Anolis sagrei: one gene and its partners. The protein of the gene in region 3 purifies or fractionates together with the protein of the main gene of each other region. This does not show direct contact. Links are inferred from orthologs where the notes say so. Each region holds a gene or a part of one and is shown on either strand. Other genes may lie near its edges.

What was found.
Region 1: the proteins of ACTR3B (region 3) and ARPC5L purify together in Homo sapiens (affinity purification with mass spectrometry; 3 studies listed by BioGRID and IntAct, counting the BioPlex papers as one, with this or other methods). This does not show direct contact. The link is inferred for Anolis sagrei from reciprocal best matches to the Homo sapiens genes ACTR3B and ARPC5L.
Region 2: the proteins of ACTR3B (region 3) and ARPC3 purify together in Homo sapiens (affinity purification with mass spectrometry; 6 studies listed by BioGRID and IntAct, counting the BioPlex papers as one, with this or other methods). This does not show direct contact. The link is inferred for Anolis sagrei from reciprocal best matches to the Homo sapiens genes ACTR3B and ARPC3.
Region 4: the proteins of ACTR3B (region 3) and ARPC2 purify together in Homo sapiens (affinity purification with mass spectrometry; 6 studies listed by BioGRID and IntAct, counting the BioPlex papers as one, with this or other methods). This does not show direct contact. The link is inferred for Anolis sagrei from reciprocal best matches to the Homo sapiens genes ACTR3B and ARPC2.

Annotation. Positions count from the first base shown.
Region 1 is NC_090031.1:6,399,377-6,407,181, forward strand, and holds the start of ARPC5L (actin-related protein 2/3 complex subunit 5-like protein), read right to left. Parts: upstream 3,013-7,805; 5' UTR 2,898-3,012; coding exon 2,725-2,897; intron 1-2,724. Other genes in the region: PPP6C (serine/threonine-protein phosphatase 6 catalytic subunit), read right to left, coding at 7,505-7,753. UniProt on the Homo sapiens protein: May function as component of the Arp2/3 complex which is involved in regulation of actin polymerization and together with an activating nucleation-promoting factor (NPF) mediates the formation of branched actin networks.
Region 2 is NC_090034.1:42,367,068-42,375,063, reverse strand, and holds the start of ARPC3 (actin-related protein 2/3 complex subunit 3), read right to left. Parts: upstream 3,001-7,996; 5' UTR 2,851-3,000; coding exon 2,845-2,850; intron 1-2,844. Other genes in the region: GPN3 (GPN-loop GTPase 3), read right to left, coding at 6,786-6,848. UniProt on the Homo sapiens protein: Component of the Arp2/3 complex, a multiprotein complex that mediates actin polymerization upon stimulation by nucleation-promoting factor (NPF).
Region 3 is NC_090026.1:121,572,223-121,579,784, reverse strand, and holds the start of ACTR3B (actin-related protein 3B), read left to right. Parts: upstream 1-4,546; 5' UTR 4,547-4,622; coding exon 4,623-4,666; intron 4,667-7,562. UniProt on the Homo sapiens protein: Plays a role in the organization of the actin cytoskeleton.
Region 4 is NC_090021.1:228,567,091-228,574,851, forward strand, and holds the start of ARPC2 (actin-related protein 2/3 complex subunit 2), read left to right. Parts: upstream 1-4,749; 5' UTR 4,750-4,938; coding exon 4,939-5,012; intron 5,013-5,298; exon of another isoform or gene 5,299-5,474; intron 5,475-7,761. UniProt on the Homo sapiens protein: Actin-binding component of the Arp2/3 complex, a multiprotein complex that mediates actin polymerization upon stimulation by nucleation-promoting factor (NPF).

The DNA of each region.
Region 1 (7,805 bases), on a different chromosome or scaffold from region 3:
AGTGATTCAGCCCATTCATTTCCCTTGTGAATGTAATACTCGATGGCTGCTCTCCAAGGTCAAAACCTCTTCAAAAAAGGTTGAGCATGCCTCATCCAAAACTGTCCAAATGATTGGCTAAGAGACACCTTTGCTTTTTGATGGTTCAATGCACAAAAACTTTGCCCCACACTCAAAATAGTTAAAATAAAATAAATAAATAAATAAATGTAGAAAAGAAAAGCTCTAGCTGTTAGCCTCAGCTCCTGCCAACCTAGCAGTTCAAAAATGTGAGTAGATCAATAGGTGCCGCTTCTGCGGGTAAGGGGTAGACTGCGTTGGATAATACAGAACGTTAGGTGAGCAAAGGTTAGATAAACGAGACTCTATTGTAATAATAATAATTTTATTTCTTACCCACCTCTCCTCGTGGCTTGAGCCAGGTTGCAAGAATATGAATGTATATTATTATTTTAAACTGCTTATTTTATGACATTTTATACTTATTATCAATGTATATGGATTGTTGTTTACATTATTTTAATATATTGTAAGCCACTTTGGGTCACGTGAGGGAGAAAGGTGGGATATAAAGATTTATTATTATTACAAAATAATTAAATAATAATAATAATAATAATTATTATTATTATTATTATATCGTGTGTGAAGCAAATTGAGAAACTACAAATCTCTGATGGTGTGAATTATTATTATTATTATTATTACCCCACTTTATTTCCCCCAAAGGGAACTCAGCAAATAAAAGCTCCAGCATAGCCATTTAAAATACACAAATATACCAACATGAAAACAAGATTAAATAGAAATCGTATTTTAAAACATTCCCAGTTAAGAATCATTAAAATAAATACATAACGCAGCAAAAACAACAACAGTACAAATACACACAGGAAAATGTACTTCCGCAAAAGTTAAACAACAAAAGGCGCCTCTACAAAATACATACTAAAACACACAAAACAGAGGACATGAAGGGAAGTCATACTGCCTCTCTATTCAGCTTTGGTTAAACCTCTTTCCCTGGAATCACACTGTGTACAATTCTAGGCACCACAATTAAAGAGAGATATTGACAAGCTGGAAGGTGTCCAGAGGAAGGCAACTAAAAGGATCTGGAGACCATGAATAATCCCTATGAGGAGTGTCCCAAAGAGCTGGGTCTGTTTATCCTGCAGAAGAGAAGGCTGAGAGGAGACATGAGAACCATGGATAAACATGTGAAAGCGTGTCCTGAGGAAGAGGGAGCAGGCTTGTGGACGCAATGGGTTCAAATGACAGGAGAGGATATTCCACCTGAACATTAGGAAGAACTTCCTGAGTGTAAGAGCTGTTCAACAGTGGAACTCTCTGCCTCCGAGTCTGGTAGAAGCTCCTTCCTTGGGAACTTTGAAACAGGGGCTGGATGGCCATCTGTCAGGGGTGTTTTGATTGTGCTTTTCCTGCCTGGCTGGGGGTTGGACTAGATGGCCGAGGGGTCCCTTCCAACTTTAGGCTTCTATGAGTCTATTCCATTGTTCTCATTATTATTTTTATGCTCAGTGGTCACCTTATATATATTTATATATTATGATTTCAGGTAGTTATTATATATAGATAGATGTGTGTGTGTGTGTGTGTGTATATATAGTGACCAGAAGACGACGATGACGACTACTACTTCTTTCTTCTTCTTCTTCTTCTGTCCACTGGTCACCTTATATCTATTTATATATTATTATTTCAGGTTATTATATAGATAGATATGTGTGTATGTGTGTGTATAGAGACAGAGTGACCAGAAGACATTATTATTATTATTATGTCCACTGGTCAGCTCATAACTATTTATATATTATTATTTCAGGTAGTTATTATATAGATAGATGTGTGTGTGTGTGTGTATGTGTGTGTGTGCGTATATAGAGAGTGACCAGAAGACTTATTATTATGTCCACTGGTCACCTTATATCTATTTATATATTATTTCAGGTTGTTATTATATACATAGATGTATATATACACACATAGTGACCAGAGGACTTATTATTATTATGTCCACTGGTCACCTTATATCTATTTGTATATTATTATTTCTGGTAGTTCTTATATACAGATAGATATGTGTGTGTGTGTGTGTGTGTGTATAGTGACCAGAGGACTCATCATCATTATTATTATGATGTCCACTGGTCTCCTTATATCTATTTATATATTATTATTTCAGGTAGTTCTTATATACAGATAGATGTGTGTGTGTATATATGTATATAGTGACTTATTATTATGTCCAGTGGTCACCTTATATCTATTTATATATTATTACTTCAGGTTGTTATTATATATACATAGCTGTATATATACAAACATAGTGACAAGAGGACTTATTATTATTATTATTATTATGTCCACTGGTCACTTATATCTATTTATTATTTCAGGTTCTTATTAATTATATAGTGAGCAGAGGGCTCTAATATTATTACGATAATTGCTATTATAATAATTATACCAATACTATTATATTATATTATATCATATTCTAATTATTAATATTACTAATATTACGGCTATTATTAAGTTCCCTGGTCACCATATTGATATATAATATACATGGTGGCTGAAGGGGAAAAAGAAGAGGGCTGAGGCCAGGAATTGTGGGAGTTGAAGTCCAAAACACCCTGAGGTACCAACTTGGCCCATCCCTGCCCGATTCTACCCGGCTCCCAAAGGGAAGAAGGATATTGCCTGAGGGCGGCCTCCACCTCGGCGCGCAGCCCTCCTCCGCCTTCGTCCTCGGCCGCCCCCAAGGCCCCGCTCCCGGCCTCGGCCCCGTCGGCCTCCTCCACGAAGCGGTTCTCGTCGAACTGGTCGATGTCGAGGCGCCGGAAGCGAGAGGAGAGCGAGTTCCGCGCCATGGCCAGGGGCCTGCTCGGGAAGGCCTTTCCCTCTGAGGGAAGACGAGGAGGAGAAAGCGGCACCTCCTTCCCTCTCGGCTGCCACCGACCTTCTGTGGTGATTCTCCCCGGAAACGGAAACCCCGCCCGCCGGGGAGGGGGCGAGAGGGAGAGCCAATCGGGAAAGGATGGGCGCGGCCAAAGCCTGGGGAGAAGTGGGTGGGGCTTCCCAGCCACGTGACCTCAGCACGCCTTGCCTAATCCAACCACTTGCTTCTCATTTCTAAGGCAGGTTGGTGAATATTTACTACAGTGAACTATTACTATCATTACTCATAATAACTTTAATATTAGCAATATTAATATGATATAATACAATAGTAATAATAATAATTTTATAATAATAATAATTTATATATATATGAACAGAGAACTTAATAATCATAATAATATGATATAATAGGAATATATATATATGGTGACCAGAGAACTTAATAATAATCATAATATTAGTAATATAAATAATATAATAAAAGGTAAAGTTAGTCCCCTGACATTAAGTCCAGTCATGTTTAACTCTGGGGGTTGATGCTCATCTCCATTTCTAAGCCGAAGAGCCAGCGTTATCCATAGACACCTCCAAGGTCATGTGGCCGGCATGACTGCACGGAGCACCGTTATAATATAATATAATATAATATAATAGTAATATATATATGGTGACCAGAGAACTTAATAATCATATTAGTAATATTAATAATATGATATAATAGTAATAATAATATATATATATATACACACATACGAACAGAGCTTAATAATCATATTAATAATATGATATAATAGTTATATATATATATATATGGTGACCAGAGAACTTAATAATGATAATATTACTAATATTAATAATATAATAGTAATATATATATATATATATGGTGACCAGAGAACTTAATAATAATCACAATATTAGTAATATTAATATGATATAATTGTAATATTATATATATATGGTGACCAGAGAACTTAATAATCATAATATTAGTAATATTAATATGACATTATATATTAGTAATAATTTTATATATATATATATATATATATATATATATATATATGGTGACCAGAGAACTTAATAATCATAATAATATTAATAATATGATATAATATAATAGTAATATTATATATATGGTGACCAGAGAACTTAATAATAATCACAATATTAGTAATATTAATAATATAATATAATAGTAATATAATATATATATGGTGACCAGAGAACTTAATAATGATATTAGTAATATTAATATAATAGTAATAATTATATATATATGAACAGAGAACTTAATAATCATAATATTAATATGATATAATAGGAATATATATATATATATATGGTGACCAGAGAACTTAATAATCACAATATTAGTAATATTAATAATATGATATAATAGTAATATATATTATATTAGTATATTTATAGTAAAGTAGTAATTATGTTGTTGTTGTTGTTTATTCGTTCAGTCGCCTCTGACTCTTCGTGACCTCATGGACCAGCCCACGCCAGAGCTCCCTGTCGGCCGTCACCACCCCCAGCTCCTTCAAGGTCAGTCCAGTCACTTCAAGGATGCCATCCATCCATCTTGCCCTTGGTCGGCCCCTCTTCCTTTCACCTTCCACCTTCCCCAGCATAACTGTCTTCTCTAGGCTTTCCTGTCTCCTCATGATGTGGCCAAAGTACTTCAACTTTGTCTCTAGTCTCCTTCCCTCCAATGAGCAGTCGGGCTTTATTTCCTGGAGGATGGACTAGTTGGATCTTCTCGCAGTCCAAGGCACTCTCAGCACTTTCCTCCAGCACCACAGTTCAAAAGCATCTCTCTTCCTTCGCTCAGCCTTCCCTAAGGTCCAGCTCTCACATCCGTAGGTGACTACAGGGAAGACCATGGCTTTGACTAGGCGGATCTTTGTTGCCAGTCTGATGTCTCTACTCTTTACTATTTTATCGAGATTGGACATTGCTCTCCTCCCAAGAAGTAAGCGTCTTCTGATTTCCTGGCCACAGTCTGCATCTGCAGTAATCTTTGCACCTAGAAATACAAAGTCTGTCGCAGCCTCCACATTTTCTCCCTCTATTTCCCAGTTGTCAATCATTCTTGTTGCCATAATCTTGGTTTTTTTGATGTTTAGCTGCAACCCGGCTTTTGCGCTTTCTTCTTTCACCTTGATTAGAAGGCTCCTCAGCTCCTCCTCGCTTTCGGCCATCAGAGTGGTGTCATCTGCATATCTGAGGTTGTTAATGTTTCTTCCAGCAATTTTCACCCCAGCCTTGCATTCATCCAGCCCCGCACATCGCAGGATGTGTTCTGCATACAAGTTAAAAAGGTTGGGTGAGAGGATGCAGCCTTGCCGAACGCCTTTCCCAATCTTGAACCAGTCTGTTGTTCCGTGGTCAGTTCTGAATGTTGCTACTTGGTCCTTGTACAGATTCATCAGGAGAGAGGGAAGGGGGCTTGGGATGCCCATCCCACCAAGAACTTGCCACAATTTATTATGATCCACACAGTCAAAGGCTTTAGAATAGTCAATGAAGCAGAAGTAGATGTTTTTCTGAAACTCCCTGCCTTTCTCCATTATCCAGCGGATATTGGCAATCTGGTCTCTCGTTCCTCTGCCTTTTCTAAACCCAGCTTGAACATCTGGCAACTCTCGCTCCATGTATTGCTGGAGTCTTCCTTGCAGGATCTTGAGCATTACCTTACTGGCATGATGAGAAATAAGGGCCACTGTACGGAAGTTTGAGCAGTCTTTCGCATTTCCCTTTTTTGGTATGGGGATATAAGTTGATTTTTTCCAGTCTGATGGCCATTCTTGTGTTTTCCATATTTGCTGGCATATGGTAGTAATTATAGTAATAATAATAATAATAATAATAATAATAATAATAATAATAGAGCCCTCTGCTCACTATATAATTAATAAGAACGTGAAATAATACATAGATATAAGGTGACCAGTGGACATAATAATAATAATAATAATAATAATAAGTCCTCTGGTCACTATGTGTGCATATATACATCTATGTATATAGAATAACAACCTGAAATAATAATATATAAATAGATATAAGGTGACCAGTGGACATATCTATATTACTCTTATTATAGATAAGAGTAATATAGTAACTCTAGGCTCTTATTATTGATAAGAGTCTAGAGTTGCTGACTTTATCAACTCCTGAGGAAGGGGATTGCTTTCCCCGAAACAGGGTACAAAAATACCCGGGCACCCCTGTTGAATGCTATTTGGACTTTTCCTTTGAAGACTTATTTTGAGAAGCAGTGCTTTCACTGGACTTGATTTGGATTTTTTCCATGAAGATTGTTTTGAGAGTGGTGCTCCATCTTCATTATTGTCTTCAGTCTACATAGAGCCTCATGACTAAATGCTTACTGTGTTTGTATGATTTTTCTTATTGAATGTATCCCTGAAGCCTATATACAGTGGAATCCTTATCCAGACCTAGAACTTACGTTTGAGAGCGGCTCCTCCATTCAACCCTCAGAGGCACCTATTGGCCTAGGACTCCTATGTGCAATCCTTTGCCCGCCTCCACATCGAGCTTTGCGCCCCCCCCCCCCCCCCCCCGGTATTCTGACCCTCCATTGAAGCTTTATAGCCATCTATCTGCCCAGGACTTTTACGTGTAATCCTTTGCCACCCTCCAGTGGACACATCAAGCATTTGCCCTGGTCTGTGTGCTGAGTCAGGTTCACCACTTGTAATGTGCAGCGTTTCCCTTTCCCAGTATTAAGTAATATATATCTTTGTTAATAATAACAACAATAATACATCTTTGTTAATAATAACAATAATAATAATGGCTCAATTTTGAAATGAAAAGCCATGACATTCCCATCAACAACATATGTTTTTATTTCCAACGTTTTAACCCAGAGGCACGGGTTTCTGGATACGACTTTATTAAAAATACAAGGTATCTGAGAGAAAAATCAGAGCAATTATTTTAATGTACAAATCCAAATACCTGTAGCGTGTTTTGCTTTTTCTTGGAACCCTAAAACATAAAAAAAAACAAGTCTTCGAGGGACAGGAAAAACGAAATAAGCGACATCCTTTTTTCAAACCCACTTATTTCTATCTGCTCAAAGCAAAATATAAAGCACGACCGTTCCCTCGTATATATCTAGATGGACTTAGAAAGTCCCATTGCCGCACATAAATACCACTTTGCTGCTGAAATTTCTTTAAAACTCTATCCTCAAGATAAATATTCGCGTGGAATAAGGAGATCGGACTAGTTCTGGCTCGGTTTGTATTTTATTGGAAAAGGGAGGGAAATCAAAACAGAACAAAATGGAGAGAAATCGAGAAGCATTATAAAACAGCGAAGTGCTCTGAGCACTCTTGGAAAGGGAAATAGCTTTTTGTTATTCTGCGCAGAGGGAGGTCGAAAAGAGACGCGTCACTGACGACAATGTACAACACATTTAGATATAATTTAAAAATAAAAAAGAACAAGGCAAGAGGCAGCATTTCAGCAGCAAAGTGCTCAATAAAAAGTATGTCACACAGAAAGAGAAGAAGGGAAATATGGGAGGAGGGTCTCAGAGGAAATACGGCGTGGTGGTCCTCGGGGGGATGACGCGCTCGGAGTCGGGGACGGCGCGGAAGAGCTTGGGCTCTCGCGTGTTGACGTCCTTGAAGACCATGATGGAGGCGATGTTGCCGCAGCGGTAGCAGTAGTTGGGGGCCGACCACACCGTCACCAGCTTCTCATCGAACATGAACTTGTAGCCTTCGTGGACCAGCTGGTGGGCCCGGCAGATGAGCTTTAGGTTGTTGATGTGCACAAACTGGAAGGATTTGAAAAGACTTGTGGCAGAGACCATGGGAAATTGCAGCAAT
Region 2 (7,996 bases), on a different chromosome or scaffold from region 3:
TGACATCTCTGGCCCATCCCCTGTTTGGATATCAGCCAACATGCAAACACCTTAAATCAAGAAATAGTTTTCGAAGATCTACAGAGATACTCGCAGGAACACCTCAGCAAGCAAGAGTCCAAAAGTGGCAGGCTAAAATCCATGGCTGATACCAAAGGAGAGACTCCCTTCTGGGCACACAGAAGACTGGGCGACTTGGAAGGCGCTGAACAGACTGTGCTCCTGAACCACGAGAGGCAGAGCCAACCTTAAGAAATGGGGCCACAAAATGGAGTCCACGACATGTGAGTGTGGAGAAGAGAAAACCACAGACCACCTATTACAATGCAGTCTGAGCCCTGCCACATGCACAATGGAGGACCTTCTCATAGCAACACCAAGGGCACTCCAAGTGGCCAGGTACTGGTCAAAGGACATTCATATACTGCCAAGATTCTAAATTGTGTGTGTGTGTGTGTTTATAAATACATTACAATGGTACCCTTGGTTTGCTCCTGATATGATAAATAAAATTATAATATTTACATGTCGTAGATTTTAAATTGCATAGTTTTGTCAAGTTGTGACCCGCCTGGCGTCTCAGTCAAGAGATAAAAGCAGGAAATAATAATAACAATAATAATAATAATAATAATAATACCACCAGGAAACAACAAGGGATATGTTCATTTCTTACGACTGATTTGTATGATTAATTCTATTCTAATATGTATGCATTGTAGATTTTAAATTGCATTGATTTTTCATGCTGTGAGCTGCCTGGCATCTCGGTCAAGAGATAAAAGCAGGAAATAATAGCAATAATAATAATATTTATAATTGTTATTATTTGAAGAAGCACCACAGAGCTATTACTTAGCTCTATTGGACTGCCATGGCTCAATGAGATTGGATCCTGGGAGTTATAGTTTGAAAACTGGGGTAGCTTTCCCTGCCAAAGAGGGCTGCTGTCTCATCAAATTAGAAACCCCAGAATTCCATAGCTTTGAGCCATGGCAGTTCAAGTAGCACCAAACTAGATTATTTCCACAGTGTAGATGCACCCAAAGCCAGTGCCTGAAATGCAAGATGTTGGTAGACTGTGACTCCCATCTTCTCAAGTCAAGAGACAATATTTTACCAGGTCAAGAAAGACAATCTTCTCAAGCCAGGCATATATCCAGCCACTTCAACTCCTCTGTGCCTCTATTTCGGCTATTACCAGCCGATCAAGTGGATTCAGGCCATTCATCTTAAGGAGCAAATGCAAGAGCAAAGCAAAGTCATCTCTATTATTTTTTCTTTTTTTTTTTTTGAAAAAAAATACTCCAATTAATTCTGCCATTTGTGGCAAGACTTCAAAACAATTTAGAGTAATGATGACTCTAATAAATAAGAAGAAAAGACTCTAGGTACATAAGTACAATAAAGCGATACTCGAAAAAGGATGTACAAAGGAAATGGGGAAAGGAGAGCCAGATAAGCCTCGGACTGGAGTCAGAAACACAGAAAGACAAGACAAGCTGATGCCACAACCAAGAAGGCGCTGCATTACCATCACAATGGAAGGCACTTCAAAACCAATTTTCCAAGAAGACTCAATATAAGAGAATTACAAGGGGTGCTGGGGTATCGAGTCAGATTTTTTGTTCAAAGCCAATTTTGCCATAGCCTTTTAGTAATAACACCTAACACAGAAAAATCTCGAGTTCGACACTTCTTGGAGTGCCATGGCTGAGTGTGACGGGATCCTGGGAGTTGTAGTTTTCCAAGGCCTGCCAAAGAGGGTGGCTGACTCTCCAAACTACGCCTCCCAGGCTCAAGTGGTCTCAAACCACATCCATCCCACAGTGGAGATCCATCAAGTGCTGCGGGATTCGGGTTCGAATCCTCCCATTGTTTGGTTTCCCCCCCAAAATCAGCCTTGCCTGACAGCCAGTGTCGCCTGACTTCCCTCTTGAAACCATATAAGGAAGTTTCCCCCGCGGCTGACATTTGAAGTCCCAGCCTTTTGGGACAGACCCGAAACAACAGCCTTTGGGGACAGGTGGCCTTGGGGACAGCAGCTCCCATCATCCCCAGCTGTTTTCAAGATCCGAAATCCCCAAGCTGGTCACTGGGTACATTACTAAAAGAAACCTTTTTACCCATCTCTCAATATAATATAATATAAATTATATTATAACAATATATTATAATAATATAATATAACAATAATATAATATAATAGGGGAGGGGAAAGGCTTTATGGATGGATTTGGAGGCATAAAATGTTGGGATCTGTATTTGTCAGTGTTCAAATAAGCGGATGCAAACCAGTTTGGGGAAAATTGTAGAGACACCAAAAAAAAAAAGGAAAGCAACAAATCCACTATCTATTTCTCTCTATATACACATACATACATACACACAAATACAAATAGAGAGGTCTGTAGTTTCGACCTATAATGTATGTTGTCTAGCTTGACATGCAATGGTTGTGAAGCATGTCTGAGTGTATGTATAAACAGGGACTGCTATTGTATATTTATTTGTGCCCTTTTTGTGTTCAGAAAAGTAATTTAAAATATTGGGGGGGGGGGGCAGAAAGTCCCAAGCTGGGGGGAAATAGACCTGGGAAAGAGAAGTCTGTTGGGTGCTACAGAAGTCCTACCAACCCAAAAAATCATCCTCACCCTCACCCCAACCTTGCTTCCAGCAGGGCAGCCATTGGGCAGGCTCCCATCTCGCTCCCGTCTGGGCCCCTTTGGGTCTGAAGCTAGTGGCTCTCTTGGGCCAGTTGGGAGTCCCAGCATCCACCTCCACCTCCACCCCCAAGCGATGGGACTTGAGATCCCCAAGGATCCATCCCCCCCTGCCCCTTACCGGCATTTTGGGAAGCACTTGATGGGAGCCGGAGAGGACAGGCTCTTCCTTCTCAGCCCGCCAGGCAGCCAAACGCGCCCTCCTCCCTTCCTGCCTGCCAGCCTTCCTTCCTCTTCCACCCAAAGCAGGAAGGGCGGGGCCCGGCAGGAGCGGAGGCAGTGGCTTCGTTGGTCAGGAGGGGGCGCCCGAGAGCAAGGCCCACGAAGAGGCCCGCTGGCTTTCAGCGCCGCGTGGAGTTCCCTGGCTCCCTGGGACTTGTAGTTCCCCAAGGTCTCGAGTCTCCTCTGCCCAAAGGGAGCTTCTCCAATAGCAAATGTACAGTTTGACCACTTCAATAGCCCTGGCTCAGTTCCCTGGGAGTTGTAGTCCCCCAAGGTCTCGAGCCTCCTCTGCCCAAAGGGAGCTTCTCCAATAGCAAATGTACAGTTTGACCACTTCAGCCCTGGTTCATTGCTCTGAGTTGTAGTTTCCCAAGGTCTTGAGCCTCCTCTGCCCAAAAGGAGCTTCTACAAGAGCAAATTTACAGTTTGACCACTTCAACTGCCCTGGCTCTGTGCTTTGGAAGCTGTAGTTCCCCAAGGTCTTGAGACTCCTCTGCCCAAACCACTTCAGCCCAGGCTCTGTGCTCTGGGAGTTGTAGTTCCCCAAGGTCTCAAGCCTCCTCTGCCCACATCACTTCAATGGCCCAGCCTCTGTGCTCTGAGAGTTGTAGTTCCCCAAGGCCTCGAGCCTCCTCTGCCCAAAGGGAGCTTCTGCAATAGCAAATGTACAGTTTGACCACTTCAACAGCACTGGCTCAGTGCTCTGGGAGTTGTAGTTCCCCAAGGTCTCGAGCCTCCTCTACCCAAAGGGAGCTTCTGCAATAGCAAATTTACAGTTTGACCCTTGCCTTCCCACTGAATTGGTACCTATTGATCTACTCACTCTTGCATGTTTTCAAACTGCTAGGTTGGCAGAATCTAGACCTAACAGTGGAAGCTCACCCCGCTCCCTGGATTCAAACCGCCAACCATTTGTTCAGCAAGTTCAGCAGCTCAGTGGATTAACCCTCTGCGTAATCAGGAGCCCCACAGCACTCCATGCTGTCATGCTGGCTGCATAACCCTTGAGGTGTGTACGGACAACACCAGCTCTTTGGCTTAAAAATGGAGATGAGACCACTCCCAGATTTGGACACGACTAGACTTAATGTCAGGATAAACCTTTACCTTTAACAGTTTGACTATTTCAACAGCCTCTAGGAGTTGTAGTTTCCTAAGGTCCCGAGCCTCCTCTGCCCAAAGGGACCTTCTACAGTGGTGAATTAACACAGTTTAACAACTTCAACTGTCTTGGCTCAGTGCTCTGCAAACCTGGGAGTTATAGTTTCCAAAGTATTGTCGAGGACACCCCCCCCCTCCCCCTTGAGCAAAATATTGATATAGTTGGCACCGCAGCGAGGAGTTCCACAGGTGACGGGAGCTCTTTTAGTTTCAAAAATCAATTTTTGCGAATGATCAGCGGTCTGGAGGAGGTTAGCAGCAGCTACCAGTGCCCAGGAGACTTATCTGCAGCCTTCTCCCCCACCCCCCACCCCCCATATGATTAGTTATCTTGTCGTTTACCCTTCAGTAAAAGGGTTATCCTTAGCTTTTGCTTCCTTGTCTTTTCTTTCGCTCTACTGAGTCTTTTCTTTCCACTCCCGCATTTCACAGCCGGCCCAGCAGCCGCTTGGGCCACATGGCCCACTTGGCCCCCATGGCCTCCCCAGCCCTGGAATCAATGCTCTCCTCGTCTCGAAGCTCCCTTTGGGCAGAGGAGGCTTGAGACCTTGGGAAACTACAACTACCAGGTTTGCAGAGCACTGAGGCAAGACATTTTAGCCGGTCAAACTGTGTTAATTCAGTATTGTAAGAGCTTCCTTTGGCAGAGGAGGCTCAAGACCTTGGGAAACGACAACACCCAGAGCACTGAGCCAGGGCTGTTGAAGTGGTCAAATTGTGTTAATTCGCTATTGTAGAAGCTCCCTCTGGGCAGAGGAGGCTTGTGAACTTTTGAAATAGAGCAATTTAAATGGCCGCAGATAATGTGATCCAGGCCATGGATAGGGAAACCTGAAGCACTGATACCAAAGTGGCCACAGAATTAATCAATCAGTCTAGTATAGAGTTTGTGTATTGTTTCTTGTTTCAATACAAATCTTCTATCTATACATATGATAAAATTGATGTGTATGTGGCAGGGGTGTCCCCTTACACACACAGCCTCCCAATTTAACCCACAGTGCTGAGGAGCCACTCAAAGCACTCCTTCCAAGGACATTTCAGGTTATGGTGGGTGCCATGAACATGTCTCCCAACCCCTGCCAATGTTCTCCACAAACACCATACTGCCTACCACCCAAGTTAAGGCTTCAATTTGGGGACAATTTCATCCTAGATGTTGTTTTTTTCCTCCAGAATGGACATCCCAGGGTTCCTTACTTTTTCCATTGCTGTGGAATTTGCATGACCATGCCCACTTTCTCTCCCTTATCCCTTTCCTATGGCACACAGCAAACAGCAACTGAACAAGAGGTTTTGGGGGAAATTGACCTTGATTTATAGCAGCCGTAGTTCACCTGCATCCAGAGCATTGTGAACCCAACCAACAATGGATCTGGACCCACTTGGCATGGATGATGGGATTTGTAGTTCCTTTACTAAGTTCCTGAGATCACTGCGGCCCGACTAATGATGGATCTGGACCAAACTTGCCACACAGACCCCTCCATGACCCACTTTACATCCTGGTGCGGTTTGCAGAAGGATGGACCACGGATGATTGGATTTACAGTACCTTCATCCACTTCCACAGACCACTGCAACCCTCACGAATGACGGGCCTGGACCAAACTTGGGACACAAAACCCCCATGACCAACAGAACATACTGTAAGAGTTTGGGGGAGGACTAACCTACCCGTGTGGGAGTTGTATTTCACCCTGCACCCAGAGAGCATTCTGAAGCCCCCAATGGCAGATCTGGAACACATGTGCTGCACAAAACCCTGAGGACCAACGAAACATAATGGAGGGGCTGGGGGTGTGTGCATATAGAGCACTCTGAACCCCATCCATAATGGATCTGGACCACAAACTTGGCACATAGACCCAATATGTCCAACTGTGAATACAGGCAGAGTTTGGGAGTGATTGCCCTGGGAATCTGGGAGTTGTAATTCACCTGCATCCAGAGAAACAGTGACCCCACCAACAATGGACCGGGACCAAACTTACCACAGAGAAACCCCATGACCAAGTGAACATACTACAGGAGTTTGTGGGAATTAACCTTGATTTTGAGATTTGTAGTTCACCTGCATCCAGAGAGCACTGAACCCAGCCAACATTGGATCTGGACCATACAGGCCTGTTTTGGGGAGGACTGACCAACAGTTTTGGGTATTGTAGTTTACCCACATCCTTATGCATTTTCTAATGGGGGCATTAATAAAAAAACAAATAAAAACTGGCTTTTTTCTAATAAATAGTGTTACTAATTAACTAAATGATACTACCTAACACCCCAAAAACAAACAATGCCTTGTTGCTTGTTGGCAACACATTCACCCTCCTTACCTTAGACTGAATCAGAGCAAAGGACAGCAATGCTGAACAAGTTAACACACTCAAGTGACAATGGCAACGCAGCCTTTTCTGTATTTGCTTCCGCCACCTGAGCTAACAAAAGCACACCAAGAAACAGATAGGAAGACCAGATACTCTCATGTTTATTATTGCCAAGGAAGCAATCAAACAATGAAATAACACAATAATTTATCTCTCAGTATGTACAGTAAACTCTCCAAGGGGGGAAAAAGTCTATGGGGCAGATCCCTCTGGGGATCTCTTTGCCTTGGCTGCATTTGATGTTTGATGCATTTGATCTTGATACCTTTCCTCAAAATGGATCCCAATCTTGTCACTCATCCACTCGCTCTTGGAAGAACTCATCAAAAGTGGAAGGTTTATTCTCCTCATTTTCCTGTGGAGGGAAAAGGATAGGAAGGATTACAGCAAACTGCATTCTTCAAGAAGGCAAAATTATTCAAAGTGTAGGGTGCATCTCTCCACTGTAGAATTAAAGCAGTTTCGGCACGACTTTCAGTGTTATGGCTCAAGGCTGTGGAATCCTGGGAGTCGTAGTATGATGAGGTCCCAGCACTCTCGTAGAAAATGCAAAGCTGCAATTCCCATGATTCCACAGTATTGAGCCATGACAGTTAAAGCAGCATAAAACTGTATTATTATTATTATTATTATTATTATTATTATTATTATTAGAAACACAACAAGATGAGTCCACAGCAGACATTCTGCTGGCTGTTGTATTGGATCACACGTTGGACACTTCCCAAGTGTCTAGGACTGTGTATCGACGAATAATGTGTGCAAATCCCAGAAGGATGGCCTTTTGCAGCTGGCAGATAGTAATTTTGTCAGCCCCAATTGTGTTTAAGTGCAGGCCAAGGTCTTTAGGCACTGCACCCAGTGTGCAGTGTGCACCACTGGGACCACCTTGACTGGCTTGTGCCAGAGTCTTTGCAGTTTGATCTTTAAATCCTCATATCGTGTCAGCTTTTCCAGTTGTTTCTCTTCAATCCTGCTGTCACCTGGGATTGCAACATCAATAATCCACACTTTTTTAACATGATCATGAGGTCAGGAGTATTATGCTCCAAAACTCTGTCTGTCTGAATTCGGAAGTCCCAGAGTAGCTTGATGTGTAATTTTTTCAGGCTTGTGATCCCACCAGTTCTTTGTTGCAGGCAGATGGTATTTGTGGCACAAGTTCCAATGAATCATCTGAGCAACAGTGCTTTGCCTCTGCTTGTAGTCTGTCTGCGCGATCTTCTTGCAGCAGCTGAGGATGTGATCTATTGTTTCATCTGCTTCCTTGCAGAGTCTACATTTGGGATCTGTCGTCGACTTTTCAATTCTGGCTTTGATGGCATTAGTTCGAATGACTTGTTCTTGGGCTGCCAGAATCAGGTCCTCCTTTGTCTCCTTTTTCAGAGTTCCATTTGTGAGCCACATGCACGTTTTTTCTTTGTCAATTTGGCTCTCAATCTTTGCCAGAAACTGTCCATGGACAGTTTTTTGCCATTTTCGCTTCTGCTCTGGATTGTGTTT
Region 3 (7,562 bases):
AACCGCTTTGAATCCCCCTGGGGTGAGAAAAGTAAAAGTAAATGTTTCCTCTTGACATTAAGTCTAGTCGTGTCTGACTCTGGGGAGTGGTGCTCATTTCCATTTCTAAGCCAAAGAGCCGGCATTGTCCATAGACACCTCCAAGGTCATGTTGCCGGCATGACTGCATGGAGTGCTATTACCTTGCTGCTGGAGTGGTACCTATTGATCTACTCACATTTGCATGTTTTCGAACTGCTAGGTTGGCAGAAGCTGGGGCTCACAGCAGGAGCTCACCCTGCTCCCTGGATTCAAACCACTAACCTTTCGGTCAGCAAGTTCAGCAGCTCAGCAGCTCACTGAGGGCACCAAGATGTAGATAAGGACAGTGAAAATGATCAAAAGACTGGAGTAAAAGCTGTGTGAAAATGGTGACTAAGGGGATATGTTTTAGAGGTACGAGGGTTGAATGAAAAGTAATGCCTCCACTTTCGTAACTTCTCAACAGATGGCATTACTGGTATGCAGCAGGTGCTGGCTTGTTCAGTAGACTCTCCTCTACACTTCCATTTTTGTGGGAAGCCTTAGTATTGAACGGTTGTGTTGTTAAAGTGCAAAATATGGAACCCTGCGCAGACGGTCAGTCAATGCGACTTAAGCAACGTGCAGTCATTGAATTCTTGACAGCAGAAGGTGTCACCTCAAAGGAGATTAATCAGCGAATGCAAGCTGTTTATGGTGATTGTTTTGATGGGAGTACTGTGCATCATTGGGCGAGTAAGTTTAAAGATGTCGAGGTGGGAACCTCTGACTTGTGTGACAAACAAAGGGTTGGGACGTCCTGTGACAGCAACCACCAAATTTCACAAGCAACAGGGTGACAGATTGATTCAGGACGATCATCGTATCACTCAGAGAGAAATTTCAAGCATAATCAGCATTTCACAAGAACGTGTGGGTCACATTATTACTTTGCTTGGCTATCGGAAAATCTGTGCACGATGGGTTGCGGAAACAAAGTGTCAACTTCTTCCGTGACGGCTTCAGAAAACTTGCTCATCGTTGGCAGAAATGTATCCAATTGTTTGTTGAAAAGTGAATAGTGGTAGTTAAAGAGGATGATTTCTGCGTTTGATTTATTAAAATATTCCCATCCAAACCCAAGTAATGAAGGTGGAGGCATTACTTTTCATTCAACCCTTGTATATAAAATTAAGTGCAGCAAGGAGAAAGTGGATAGAAGACTGCACCGATTCTTATTATAACCTGTCATATGTTGACATGCATGGGTTAGTTCTTGGACAGATGAGAGGAAGGATTCCTTCACAGAGTGATGTTACGAAAAAATTGCAAGTTTAAGGAAAAAAAAGTCTTGCTGAACCAACATATGTTCACTGTCTCCTTTATTGGTGATGTTCATGCAATATGTTGCTTGTGTAGCCCAAACAATGCCACCTCCAGACAAGCGGGAAATATCAACAGGCATAGGGATTATTTTGTGAATCCCCCGCTAAGGAGGGAAGGGGCCAAAATAGGAAAAAATCCCAAAATAAGCTTGTGAAGATGGGGCGCATCCATTAGCCTGGAATGGCAATGCATTATTAGAGGCAATATACAGGCAGTCCCCAAGTTACGAACAAGACAGCTTCTGTAGCTTTGTTCTTAAGTTGAATTTGTATGTAAGTCGGGACAGGTACATTTTTATAGTGGTAACTCCAGCCATATGTGTGTGTGTGTACACGCGCACACATTTAGGGTCCTGTCTACACAACCATATAACGCAGTCTGAAATGACATATGGCCAGTGTAGGCTCTTATAAGTCTCCCAAGGGCTGAGAAAAGCAGTATATAAATGAAGTAAATAATAATAATAATAATAATAATAATAATAATAAATTATAATGCAGTTCAATGCAGTTAAACTGCATTATATGAGTCTACACCGATCATTTAATGCAGTTTCAAACTGCATTAAATGGCAATGTAAATGGAGCCACGGTCAGAGCAGGAATGGAGAATCATGTACAAGGAAGGAACCAAGGCCTCTTTTGTACTGTCTCAATCCAGATTATCTGCTTTGAACTGGTTTATATGAGTCTACACTGCCATATAATCCTGTTAAAAGGAGACAATCTGGATTTTTATGGCTGTATTGAAGCCCCTTGTACAATGCCATTTAATCCAGATGATCTACTTTGAACAGGATTTTATGAGTCTAAGCTGCCGTATAATCCAGTTTAAACCAGATAATCTGGATTGTATATGGCAGTATAGAATTGGCCTCAGATCCCTTGTAAAATGCCATATAATCCAAATTATCTGCTTTGAACTGGATTATATGAGTCTCCACTACTACACAATCCAGTTTATCTTCTTTGAACTGGATTATATGCGTCTCCACTTCCATTTAATACAATTGATCAAATCAAATAATCCAAATTATCTGCTTTGAACTGGATTATAAGAGTCTCCACTGCCATATAATACAGTTGATCAAATCAGGTAATCCAGTTTATCTGCTTTGAACTGGATTATATGAGTCTCTATTGCCATATAATCCAAATGATCGAATCAATCCAAATTATCTGTTTGAACTGGACTATATGAGTCTCTGTGTAGGTTCAGCTGTACCAGGAGCTCCAATTTTGTTTGCTTTGCATTGAATGTTTGTTGTAGTCCTAAGTTTCAGGGACTCTGCAGATTGGTGGCTTCTTTTGGCTGCAATCATAGGGCAAGCCACCTGTCAATTATTGTTAGGTTCTCTGGTCCCGCCCCCTTTTTGGGTTTTGGAGGGAATAGGAGCCAATTTGGGTTCAGACCACACAGAGAAGCTTTTCATGCAGGACATAATATCAAGAGTTCCTGTAGAAAGCTTCGTCTTCCACGGCTTGGCCGTGGGTTATACAGCCCACAGCTTGGCCGAGGATCATACAGCCCTACAGCTCCTTTGCTGAGGGACTTCAGCCAGCCATCACTGAAACCTGAACTCCTTTTCCCCTGGGGGTCCACAAAGCTCTGCTTGGTAAGGGTCACTCGCGGAAGCCAGAAGCAGTTAGTACCGGGTGCAGGGGCTCCACGCCAACAGAAGCAAAGACAGACTGCCCAGATTAGAAGTTAAGGATTTCCCCATTAGTTACTATACAGTTATGAAGATAGTGCCTGTTCCCTGTGGACAAGATTGAGAGAGAGCCAATAGACTGTTAAGAAAGCCTTAAAGTACCTGTTTGTTTTCAATAATAAAGAACTTTTGTTGAACCTTTAAGCAATCTAAAGACTCTGTTTTAAGGCAATCCAAAGGCCTTTAATCTGAGGCATCCCCGGCATCCCGTTGGGCACATAGAATTTATGTCCTGTCTACAGTCTTATTGTTGGGGTTCAGCCTGATCTGTGTGAACCTGATCTGTGTGAACCTGATTCTCTGATAGTATTTCCAACTGAGCAAGCCACTGAACATGTAGTTTTCCCTGACAATGTGGAAACTGGTGTTAATGCTGAGTTCAGCGGCGGGGAAAACGAAACTGAACAGCTGGATGAAAACGTTTTGGAATCCAGCTGTGATAGCTCTCCACCTGGCTTTTTCAATGAGGACTGAAGGGAACAGATAATGAGAGACAGGAGTGATTCACAATTCCTACGAAGGTCAAATAGATTACAGGAGAGACAGGCTCAGGCTTCAAAATCAAGGGGCGTTTCAAGGAATAGTTTCTTTGGTATAAGGGGCCGCATGCCGGGTGCCTCCTTAGAGCAAGCATCGTTTGGGACCGGCTATGCCTTGGCAGAATTCCTGTGTTCCATGGCCGGTAATCCCAGAGGCTTCTAGTTTTTCAAGTACATGGCTAGCGAGAGGCTAACAGGTTCCTGGTTCTTGTCTTATTTTTTTTTTTGGACTTTTGCTCAAGTTCAGAGATTTTCCTGACTGCTGTGTTTCTATGGTGGCTTTTTGACTTTGCATTTAACTTTCTTTTGTAACCAATTTTCATCTATAATAAAGGATTGTTTTTCCTACAGTCCAGTGTGGTGTATTTAATCTTATGGTCTCGTTTCTTGGTCTGGGATGCAACACTTATGCACAGGCCCAGTGTGTGACAGCACAGTCTCCATTGCCATATACTCCAGATTATCCAATCAGGTAATCCAGATGATCTGCTTTGGACTGGATTATATGGGTCTACACTGACAGATTATATGGCAGCGTGGAAGGAACCAAAGTATGCAACATTGTAGATTTAACATAGTTTGACACTATGGAAGCCCGGGGTTTTGCAATGAGGTGCCACCTTTGGGCAGAGAGATACTCAATGCAGACTATGTTTCCCTGGCAATTAAAGCGTGGTCGCAATTCCCTCTTACTAGCAACTCCAGGCGTTGCTAGGCGACCACGGCTGCCCAATGGGAAGGCAAAGCGGGCAAAGCCTGAGCAGCACGCTCTCCCAAAATGCCCGCCAGGGGGCCGGATGTTTATGTCCTTGTGGACCACGTGACGCCCGGGGAGGGGCGTGGCTGCAGAAAGCAGCATGGGTTTGGCGCAGGCGTGTTGCGGTCGGAGCTGTCAGCTCGGCGGGGAAGCGGAGGAGGAGGGGGCGCCTCGGCGGGACTTCCCTTTCCTCCCTTTTCCTCGGGCCTTTTCCCCTCGCAGCCCGGAAATGGCCGGCCTCATGCCCCCCTGCGTCGTAGACGCCGGCACCGGGTGAGAGGGACCTGCCTTCGCCCCTCTCTCCTCCTCCTTTCTCTTCATTCACCTCCTTTTCCTCTTTCATCTCTTCATTTCTCCCTCTTTCACTTCCTCCACCTCCTCTTCTTCCTTCAGCTCTTCCTCTTTCACTTCCTCTTCTTCCTTTACTTCTCCTTCACTTCATCCTACTCCTTTTCCTCTTTCATCTCCTCATTTTTCCATCTTTCACTTCCTCTTCTTTACTTCTTCCTCCACCTTCTCTTCTTCCTTCAGCTCTTCCTCTTTCACTTCCTTTACTTCTCTTTCACTTTCTCCTTCTCCTTTCCTCTTTCATCTCCTCATTTTCCCCTCTTTCACTTCCTCTTCTTCCTTTACTTCTCTTTCACTTCCTCCTACTCCTTTTCCTCTTTCATCTCCTCATTTTCCCTCTTTCACTTCCTCTTCTTCCTTCACTTCTTCCTCCACCTTCTCTTCTTCCTTCAGCTCTTCCTCTTTCACTTCCTTTTCTTCCTTTACTTCTCTTTCACTTCCTCCTACTCTTTTTCCTCTTTCATCTCCTCCTTTTTCCCTCTTTCACTTCCACTTCTTCCTTCACTTCTTCCTCCACCTCCTCTTCTTCCTTCAGCTCTTCCTCTTCTTCCTTTACTTCTCTTTCACTTCCTCCTACTCCTTTTCCTCTTTCACTTCTTCTTCCTTCACTTCTTCCTCCACCTCCTCTTCTTCCTTCAGCTCTTCCTCTTTCACTTCCTCTTCTTCCTTTACTTCTCTTTCACTTCCTCCTCCTTTTCCTCTTTCATCTCCTCATTTTTCCCTCTTTCACTTCCTCCACCTCCTCTTCTTCCTTCAGCTCTTTCTCTTTCACTTCCTCTTCTTCCTTTACTTCTCTTTCACTTCCTCCTACTCCTTTTCCTTTCATCTCCTCCTTTTTCCCTCTTTCACTTCCTCTTCTTCCTCCACTTCTTCCCCATCTTCTCTTCTTCCTTCAGCTCTTCCTCTTTCACTTCCTCTTCTTCCTTTACTTCTCTTTCACTTCCTCTTCTTCCTTCACTTCTTCCTCCCACTCCTCTTCTTCCTTTACCTTGTCTTCTTTCACTTTCTTTTCTTCCTTTACTTCTTTTTCACTCCCTCCTACTCATTTTCCTCTTTCATCTCCTCATTTTCCCTCTTTAACTTCCTCTTTTGCCTTCACTTCTTCCTCCACCTTCTCTTCTTCCTTCACCCCGTCCTCTTTCACTTCCTCTTCTTCCTTTACTTTTCTTTCACTTCCTCCTACTCCTTTTCCTCTTTCATCTCCTCATTTTTCCCTCTTTCACTTCCTCTTCTTCCTTCACTTCTTCCACCTTCTCTTCTTCCTTCAGCTCTTCCTCTTTCATTTCCTCTTCTTCCTTTACTTCTCTTTCACTTCCTCCTACTCCTTTTCCTCTTTCATCTCCTCATTTTCCCCTCTTTCACTTCCTCTTCTTCCTTCACTTCTTCCTCCACCTCCTTCCTTCACCTTTCCTTTTTCTCCTGTTCCTCCATCTCCTTCTTTTCCTCCTACAACATCTACTCTTCCTCCTGCACCTCCTTCTCCTCTTCCTCCTTCACCTCTTTCACTGCTTCTTCTTCTCCTCATCCACCCTCTCCTCTTCCTTTTCCTCTTCCTTTCTTCCTTTACCACTTCTTTCTCCTTCAACTTTTCTTCCTCCCTCTCCCGTTGTCCTGCTTCACCTCTTCTACTTCCTTCTTCCTCATCTTCTTTCTTCACTGCCTCCACATCTTTCTCCTCTTTCTGCTTCATCTTTTTCTCTTTCATCTCCCTTTCCTCTTTCTCCTGTTCCATTTCCTTCTTTTCCTCCTACAACACCTACTCTTCCTCCTGCACCACCTCCTCCTCTTCCTTTTCCTTCTTCACCACTTCCTCCCCTCTTCCTTCTTCACCTCTTTCACTGCTTCCTCCTCCTCATCACCCTCTCCTCTTCCTTTTTCTTTCTTCCTTTACCACTTCATCTTCCTCCTTCAACTCTTCTTCTTCCCTCTCCACGTGTCCAGTTTCACTTCTTCCACTTCCTTCTTCCTCATCTTCTTTGCCTCCACATCTTTCTCCTCTTCTTGCTTCATGTTTTTCTCCTTCATTTCCCTTTCCTCTTTCTTCTGTTCCTCCATCTCATTCTTTTCCTCCTACAACACCTACTCTTTCTCCTGCACCTCCTCCTCTTCCTTTTCCTCCTTCACTGCTTCCTCCCCTCTTCCTCCTTCACCTCTTTCACTGCTTCCTCTTCTTCTCCTCATTCATCCTTTCCTCTTCCTTTTCCATTTGCTTGCTTTCCTGCTAAAGTCTAACGGATTAGAGAGCTGCGCCAAAACTAACTCTCTGCTATGTAAGAAGGAGATATATAAGATACTTCATCTAGTCTTCATACAAACAAACAAAAGACATGGTTTTCTTCAAATCTGGGGTTCTAAAACAAAAAAAAACACAACAAAAAACCTTCAGATTTGCTCAATAATATGCATTATTTCCCACAATTCCTTTTGTTGTTTGATGTTATAAGGTATGATTGATGTTGTAAGATATAATTGCATAAAATTAGTGTTGTAGGCAGGAAATATTTTTCTCTTATTGCTCTGTATATGCGATGTCAGTCACCAGATGTAAGCTATCCTGGTTTCAGTCAAGACCTATGCCAATAATATCTGCATGTATTTCACTGGTGAATCCAAAATAGATTTGGCAACGGCTTCATTCTTTCATTAATACTTATCCTATATGACTTATAGACATGTCTAGGGTACAATCAGAATATTTTTACAATAATTTCTTACGTGATCCAATAATTATGCTTCTTTTAATATCTACTAAGCAGCCTGATTGTTTCAACACCACTTATGGTTGTATAAATCTCATCTTACGAGTTCCCCTAGTGATCAC
Region 4 (7,761 bases), on a different chromosome or scaffold from region 3:
CCAAACTACAACTCCCATGATTCTACAGGATTGAGCCATGGCAGTTAAAGTGGTCTCAAACTGTGTTAATTCTACAGATTAAATGCACTCTTTGTCTGAGTGGGGATTTGAACCCTGGGTCTCCCAAAGTCCTAGACCAGGGGTGTCAAACTCATTCTTATCAGCCTTATGGTTCAAAGGGTCATTGAATCTATGAATGGAGAATTCGTGGATTTTTTACACAGTGGTCAATGCTCTTTAGTTTTTATCTAGTTAGGTGAGGAAATGTAAAATGATCCCACTTAGAAATAAACTTGTCCAGATGGTTCTTTAGTTTGCATGAACAGTAAAAATTACAGATGTATCAGGGCATTTAGGAAATAGATATCACTTTGTATTTTCTGACAGCAGTTTGGCCTCTAAGTGTACTTTTCATTTATTTGCATCAATTTTGTGACAAAAAGACTTAGTATTTATTTTTCTAGTATTGATTCTAACCCTAGGTGGGAAAACATACCAACTGTTTAACTTTGGTTACTTAGAACATGAGATATTACTTTGCCTCCAGTGTATCTTCAATATAAATACTTAACATATGAGATTTTTGTTGTTGTTGCCCTCCCTTTTCTATCTCCCTTAGAAGTCTCCAGATGCAGAATTTTGCTTTTCCACCTTATAAGTGACAAAATGGGAACCTCATCCTCTCATAAAGGATTGTTCCACCATACTATAGACACAATTTCTTATCAGAAGAGCATGTATCATGGGTTAAAGAGGATCAAGGTGAAAGAGTGACATGTAAAGGATGAACCAAAAGTTACAAAGGGGGTTCAATATTTAATGACTTCTTTATTTTTGTTTTTAATTTACAACACCATATTGTATATGATGTATAGCATCATATACAGTATATATAAGAAATACATTTACATGAGGTGTGAAAAATCAAGTCTCATAAATGGTGTCCAATATCATAGCAATATATACAGTGTATCTATGACCCTTTCGTGGCTTGTAGCCCACCCTGTTCTATTAAACACCAACAAAACACAGCCAGATTGCCATAGGACCTTCTTAACCTTTTCATATTTTTGTACTATTCTTTGCCACTTGCGGAGGTTTATTAAGGAAATGAATGTTGCCTCTTATAAAAGAAGCAATATCCATGCTTTGTCCATTTATTTATATAGCCCAACAGCAACACACATGGTACTCCAATACCTGGCCTTTGCCCAGAGGAGCTGACACTCTGAACTTTGATGCAGGAAAGATAGTAAAAAGAAGGGAATAGCTGCATGTGCTAAAGCTTAGTCACAGTTATTAGGCTACATAGAAAAACCTGGGTTTTTACGATACAATGTAAACAGCCAAAGTCACACTCAGGCCCCCATCTATACTGACAATTTCATGCAGTTTCAAACAACTATTGAAGAAAGTGGTTTTGGTGTGCAGATGATCACATAGGAAATCCTGGAAAACCTTTGAGGCCAGGATGGTGATTACACAAACCAGAGAGCTCCGAGTAAGGGCTTTCTTTCGCACACCTTTTGTGGGTGTTTGTTGTCTGGCTGCCAGTTTGAAGCGAACTGTGATCTGCATTAAATGGTCATTGTAGATGGGGCCACAGTTTCACTGAAAATACAATCAATGTGGTACATTTTGTTAGGACCGCAAAACTGAGGGTCAAAAAAGCATATTTTTAATGTGTGGTTTTATAGGAATTTGACGCTCTTAATTTTAAAAATGACCTCAGATCTGCTCCATCCCTTACTTTCCCCCCAAAATGCTTTGATGTACTTTGTTGAAAAATGTAAATGAAATTAGTATTCAAATCATCACAGACTGAGCATCCCTTATCTGGAATCTTATCTGGGGTACTTTGTGCTTTTCCTGCATGGCAGAGGGTTGGACTAGATGTTCCACGTGGTCTCTTCAAACTCTACTATTCTATGAATGTGTTAATTCTGAAATTCTTCAAAATCAAAAGTTATCCACATGCGTTGTCGAGATAGTAACCCCTTTGCTTTCTGATGGTTCAATGGACACCTATATTTGTTCCTGCACAAAAGTATTTTAAAAATTGTGTATATAATTACCTTTCGGTTATATGTGTATTGTGTATATATGAAACATAAAATGAAGTTCATGTTTCTACTTGGGTCCCATCTCCAAGACTTCTCATTACATATACAAATACAGGTATTTCAAAAACTGAAAAAACACTTCTGGTCATTTTGCATAAGAGCCAATCAACCTGTATCAGAGTTAGACAGGTCTGAGGGATTTCAGATATGGGGAATAACATGGGATTCCCACCTCAGTTGTAATGGTGCTATTTCCCAGCATCCTCAAACAACCAAACATGAAACAAAACTTCTCAGATTTCAAGTACAGTACTTCAAAACATTTAGCTGTTCATGCCATACTTAAGCCCCATCTACACTGACCCATTAATACAATTTAAAGCTAGCTTCAAACTGCAGAAGTCTGACAACAAACTCCCACAAAAGGCTTGCAAAAGAAAGCCCCTTTAATGCACATCAGTGTTCTGTAGTTTGACTAATCTCCTGTCATCATCTGAGCAGCAAAACCACTTTATTACCAGTTTGCAACTGCATTAAATGGTCAGTGTAGATCAGGCCTTAGGGATGCATTTGGAAGTTCACACTTCAGCTTCTAAATTTGCGGTTAACCATGAAATTAGATTTTTTTAAAAAAGAAATAAATGTTTGTTGTGTTTTTCAAATACAGTACTACAATCCTGATGAAAAAAAATGTGCTTTTGCCCATGACAGGCCTTACTTTATAAACTAACCCCAAGTGCATGGTATTAAAATGCAAAGCAACATTATGTAGCAACAGGAATGAGCCGAGGCCACATCAACACAGGACTTTGATCAGGCATGGGTAAACTTTGGCCCTCCAAGTGTTTTGGACTTAAACTACCACGATTCCTAACAGCCTACCAGCTGTTAGAAATTGTGAGAGTTGAAGTTCAAAACACCTGGAGGACTGGAGTTTGCCCATGCCTGGCTTAGAGAACAAGGAATCAAATGTTATGCTGTAAAATGAATGCAGTTTTGCACCAGTTTAACTAGTGGGAGTATGTATTTATTTATTTATCGTGTCAGAAGTGGATTAAGGGTACAGTTATAATGTACTCAAAAAGACACAGTTAAAAACTTGGCATTATGCCAGATTTCCTTTGACCAGAAGCTGGCCACTTGGATTGCCTCTGATGTGGCTACAAGAAGGTCCTCCATTATGCATATGGGAGGCTCAGGTAGCATTGTAGTAGATCATCTGTGGTTTGCTCTTCTCCACACTCACATGTCGTGGACTCCACCTTGTGTTGGCTCTGCACCTTGTGGTGCCAGTCTGTTCAGTGCCTTCCAAGTCACCCAGTCTTCAGTATGCCCAAGAGGGAGTTTCTTATCTGGAATCAGCCACTGATTGAGATGCTGGGTTTTATGCTGCCACTTTTGGACTCTCGCTTGCTGAGGTGTTCCTGCGAGTATCTCTGTAGTTCTTAGGAAGCTGTTTCTTGGTTTGAGGCATTGGCATGCTGGCTGATATCCCAACAGAGGTGGGATGAAGATGTCACTGCCTTGGTCCTCTCATTATTGGCTGCTTCTTCCCAGAGGATGTCAGGTGATGCAATACCGGCCAAGCAGTGCAATTTCTCCAGCGATGTTGGGTGTAGACATCCTGTGATGATGCGGCATGTCTCATTAAGAACCAGGTCTACTGTTTTAACGTGGTGAGATCTGCTCCATACTAGGGGTTGTTTTTTTTTTTTAATTGCGTCAGGAGCAACTTAAGAAACTGCAAGTCGCTTCTGGTACGAGAGAATTGGCTGTCTGCAAGGACGTTGCCCAGGGGACGCCCGGATGATTTGATGTTTTTATCATCCTTGTGGGAGGCTTCTCTCATGTCCCCGCATGAGGAGCTGGAGCTGATAGAGGGAGCTCATCCGCCTCTCCCCGGATTCGAACCTGGGTCTTCAGTCCTGCCAGCACAGGGGTTTAACCCACAGCGCCACCGGGGGCTCTACTGCCAGGGAAACTGTGGAATCCTAGTTTGGTGAGGAACTAGCACTCTTAAGTAGAGAAGGCCTAGCACCTTGTACAACTACAAATCCTATCATTCCATGGCATTGAGCCATGGCAACTACAGTATTGCCAAACTGGATTAATTCTAGTGTAGATGCGCCCAAAAATAAATAAATAAATAAGCTCGAGGGCAACAGAGAATCGGAAGAGCTTCCGCCCCGCCCCCCTCGAGCGCATGAGCACGTGCCTGGCAAGCCAGTGTCCGCGAACGAGGCACATCTGGCGGCGCGTGCGAAGCCACAGGGAGGCCGCAACCAATGGGAGTCCGAGCTCCAAACCAGCTTCGAACGTTAGCCTTGGCCAACGCGCGCGCGGAAGAACTGGCTAAAGCACGCCTGGGCAAATCTGAGCCTTCCCTTTAGGTGTTTTGGGCTTCAACGGCCACCATTCGTAACAGCCTCAGGCCCTTTCCTTTTCCCCCTCAGCCGCTTAAGTGGAAAAGGGAAAGGCCTGAGGCTCTTAGGAATGGTGGCCGTTGAAGCCCAAAACACCTGCAGGGAGGGCCCAAGTTGACCAGGCCTAGGCTAAAAGGAAGAAGCCTTCCCCGCCTGCTTGGCATGCCTGCCAGCCGCGCATGCGCGCTGCTTTCCTCTTCCTCCCTCCCCCTTCCCTTCACGCCACTGCCTTTCCCACGTCCAGGATGTGACGCAGGGTGCCGGCTCGGCGCGGAGGTGGGTGGGGCCCCCGTGGCGGAAGCGGCTGGACTCGGGCGGGTCCCCGGTGCGGCGCGCTTCTCGGCTAGGTGGTGTCTTCTCCCCCCCTCCCCTGCCCCCCGCTCCTCCTCCTCTTCCTCCTTCTTCCCCGCCCGGCTTCCGTACCCCTTCCTCACCTCGGAGCAGCCGTCGCCATGATCCTGCTGGAGGTCAATAACCGCATCGTCGAGGAGACGCTGGCGCTCAAGTTCGAGGGCGCGGCCGCTGGGTGAGGAAGGAAGGAAGGCAGGGGCGGCGGGCGGGTGGGAGGAGTGGTGGCGGCGATGGGAGGAAGGGCGGGGTGGGGCAGGCGTTAGGACAGGGCAGCGAGGCCTACTCGCCTCACTACCTTCTTCTTCTTCTCCCCCCCCCCCCCCCCGCTTGCCCTGCGTTGCCCTCCCCACTGTTTATTCATGTATTTGCATGGCTGACGACTCCAACGTAGGGTTCACCCTTCAGCCTTCTTCCTTTTGGGCAAGTGGGTGTGGGCGGCGGGCCTCCACTTCCTCTCTCACCTTCTGGCGCTTGGGCGCTTCCGGAGCCTCCCTGCGAGGCCCCTAAGTGACTCAGGAGGTTCAGGCTGCTGCTGCCTATCCTCCCACCTCCAAGCTGTCAGGACGGATCTGTGCTTCGGGAGCTTTTGACATCACGTAGTCCTCCTTCAGATCGGGGAGGGGTGCCCTTTTTCCCACTTAGGAATGCAGTTTCACACCGCTTGGAAGTGCCAGGGCCCAGTGCTGTGGTATCACAGGAGGTGTGGCTTTACAGTAGTGGTTCTTAACCTGTGAGTCCCCAGATGTTTTGGCCTTCAACTCCAAGAAATCCTAACAGCTGGTAAACTGGTTGGGAATTGTGGGAGTTGTAGGCCAAAACACCTGGGGACTCACAGGTTGATAACCTCTGTTCTACATACTGAACACTCACATACGCAATGTATTGCCAAAGGCTTTGTTTCTTCCATATGCCTCTTTTATGGGGATATGAAGAGATCTGGTCATTTCTGTGCAATGTATTCCTGGTTAGTCAGTGGAACAGATCACATGAAGGCCCCTTTTCATTTTCTTCAGGGTCCCTTCAACATTAGGTCTGTGCTCTCCACCATCATCTTCCCCTTTCTACTCCTCTAAAGCAGTGCTACTCAACAAGTTGTTCCATGGTCCAATCCTGATCTATGAACCATCTGCACCTGGTCCCTTCTGTTCCCACAGGTTGAGAACCACTGCTATACAGGGTCTTTAGCCTTCCCTGCCAAAGAATGCTGGTGTCACACTAAACTATAAATCCTAGGATTCCATGGCATAAAATCATGGCAATTCAAGTGTTTTTTTGTTTTGTTTTATTCTATTTTTTGTTGGGTAAGAAGCGACTTGAGAAATTGCAAGTCACTTCTGGAGTGAGACATGGCCCAGAGCATGCCCAGATGTTTTACCACCCTGTGGGAGGCTTGTCTCAGGTCCCCGCATGGGAAACTCCCGTCTCACAGACCCGAACCGCTGACCTTCAGATCAGCAGTTCAGCCAGCACAAGGGTTTAGCCCATTGCGCCACCACGGCTTATGCTGTATTAATTCTACAAGTAGATGCAGTCTTGAAGGGTTTAATTGCTGGTTGCCTTCGGGTAACTACAATTTGGAATATTTGGGAGAAGAATTAGGATTTCTTTTCCACATTTTTGATTGCTTGCATATATATTTATGAGATATACTGTAAAAGGACCCATTTCCAATCATGAAATTCATTTCCAATACACATAGCCTGAAAATACAATACTGTATTTTATGTAATTTTGCACATGAAACAATGTTTGTGTCCATCAGAAAACAAAGGTATCACAACCTCAGCCACCCATGTGGACACTTTTGGATTTTGGAGGGTTTCAGGTTTTGGTATTTAAGATACGGGATGCACAGCCTGTGTAGGCTTTTTGGATAGAAGATACCAAGCCAATTGCACCGTGTGTTGCCACTTCCCTAAAGTGCTGCTGTTATTCTTCCTCTTGCCACTCACCAGGAAGTGTCGCTTTCACAGATAGCTGAATTGCAGGCCCTGGCTTTTTGATCAGGGTGTGTTCAGTACATATTTCAAGTACAGGTAAAATTATTTGAAAGTGTTTGAGAAGATAAGCATTCTTACTGCTGTCTGAGAAAGAGAACAGTAAACTCATGCACTTGGAGAAAGGACAGGTAGAGAAAGGGGTGGAGCTCCCATTGGGAAAAATTGAACAAGTGCTTATTAGAGTCTGCAGAAAGAACTGCACAATTATGCTGACAATATTTTTCCCATTGTATATGTTTAACTTGCTGTAAAGGTACGAATTATGGAGCCTTCTGGCTGTTGGGCTAAAAGTCCTAGCAGTAATAATCAACATAATCACTCAGAGAGGAATGCTGGTACTTGCAAACCAATATCATGATAGGGCTGATGTTGAACACTGGATGGTGCTTTCCTCAGACAAAAGGGACCTGTTTCTTATCTTTGACAAGTGACTTATATGGGTTGTATTTTTTTCTAGACTTCTACTTTTCTGTTTCATACTTTTCTGTTTCTACATATCTCCTAGCCGTTTCAAGTAAAAGGAGTCTGTTTTATGTATTTTGTATGTATTCATCCTGCTTGAGATCCATCTATTTCAACATTTTTGAACATTCCCCACAAATAGAGGCCTTCAGCAGGTCATTTCGAAACTGGAACCCATTCTATTTTCTGTGCATTCCTCAAATGTTGTTGTATGTCTTCAAGACATTTCAGACTTATGGTGACCCTAAAGCATAGTCAGTTTGCACAACACACTGTATCCTATCATATGATTTTCTTGGGGGGGGGGGATAGTGGAAAGGGGGTTACGTATGAATTTTTAGTCTCTTTTTTGTTAAATTATTAAAATATATATTTGGTAAAAGTCACATATGAGGAAAAGTGGTTATGTTATACTCATTTGCCCCAAATTGAATAAATAAATAATATGGTTTTCTTGAAAAG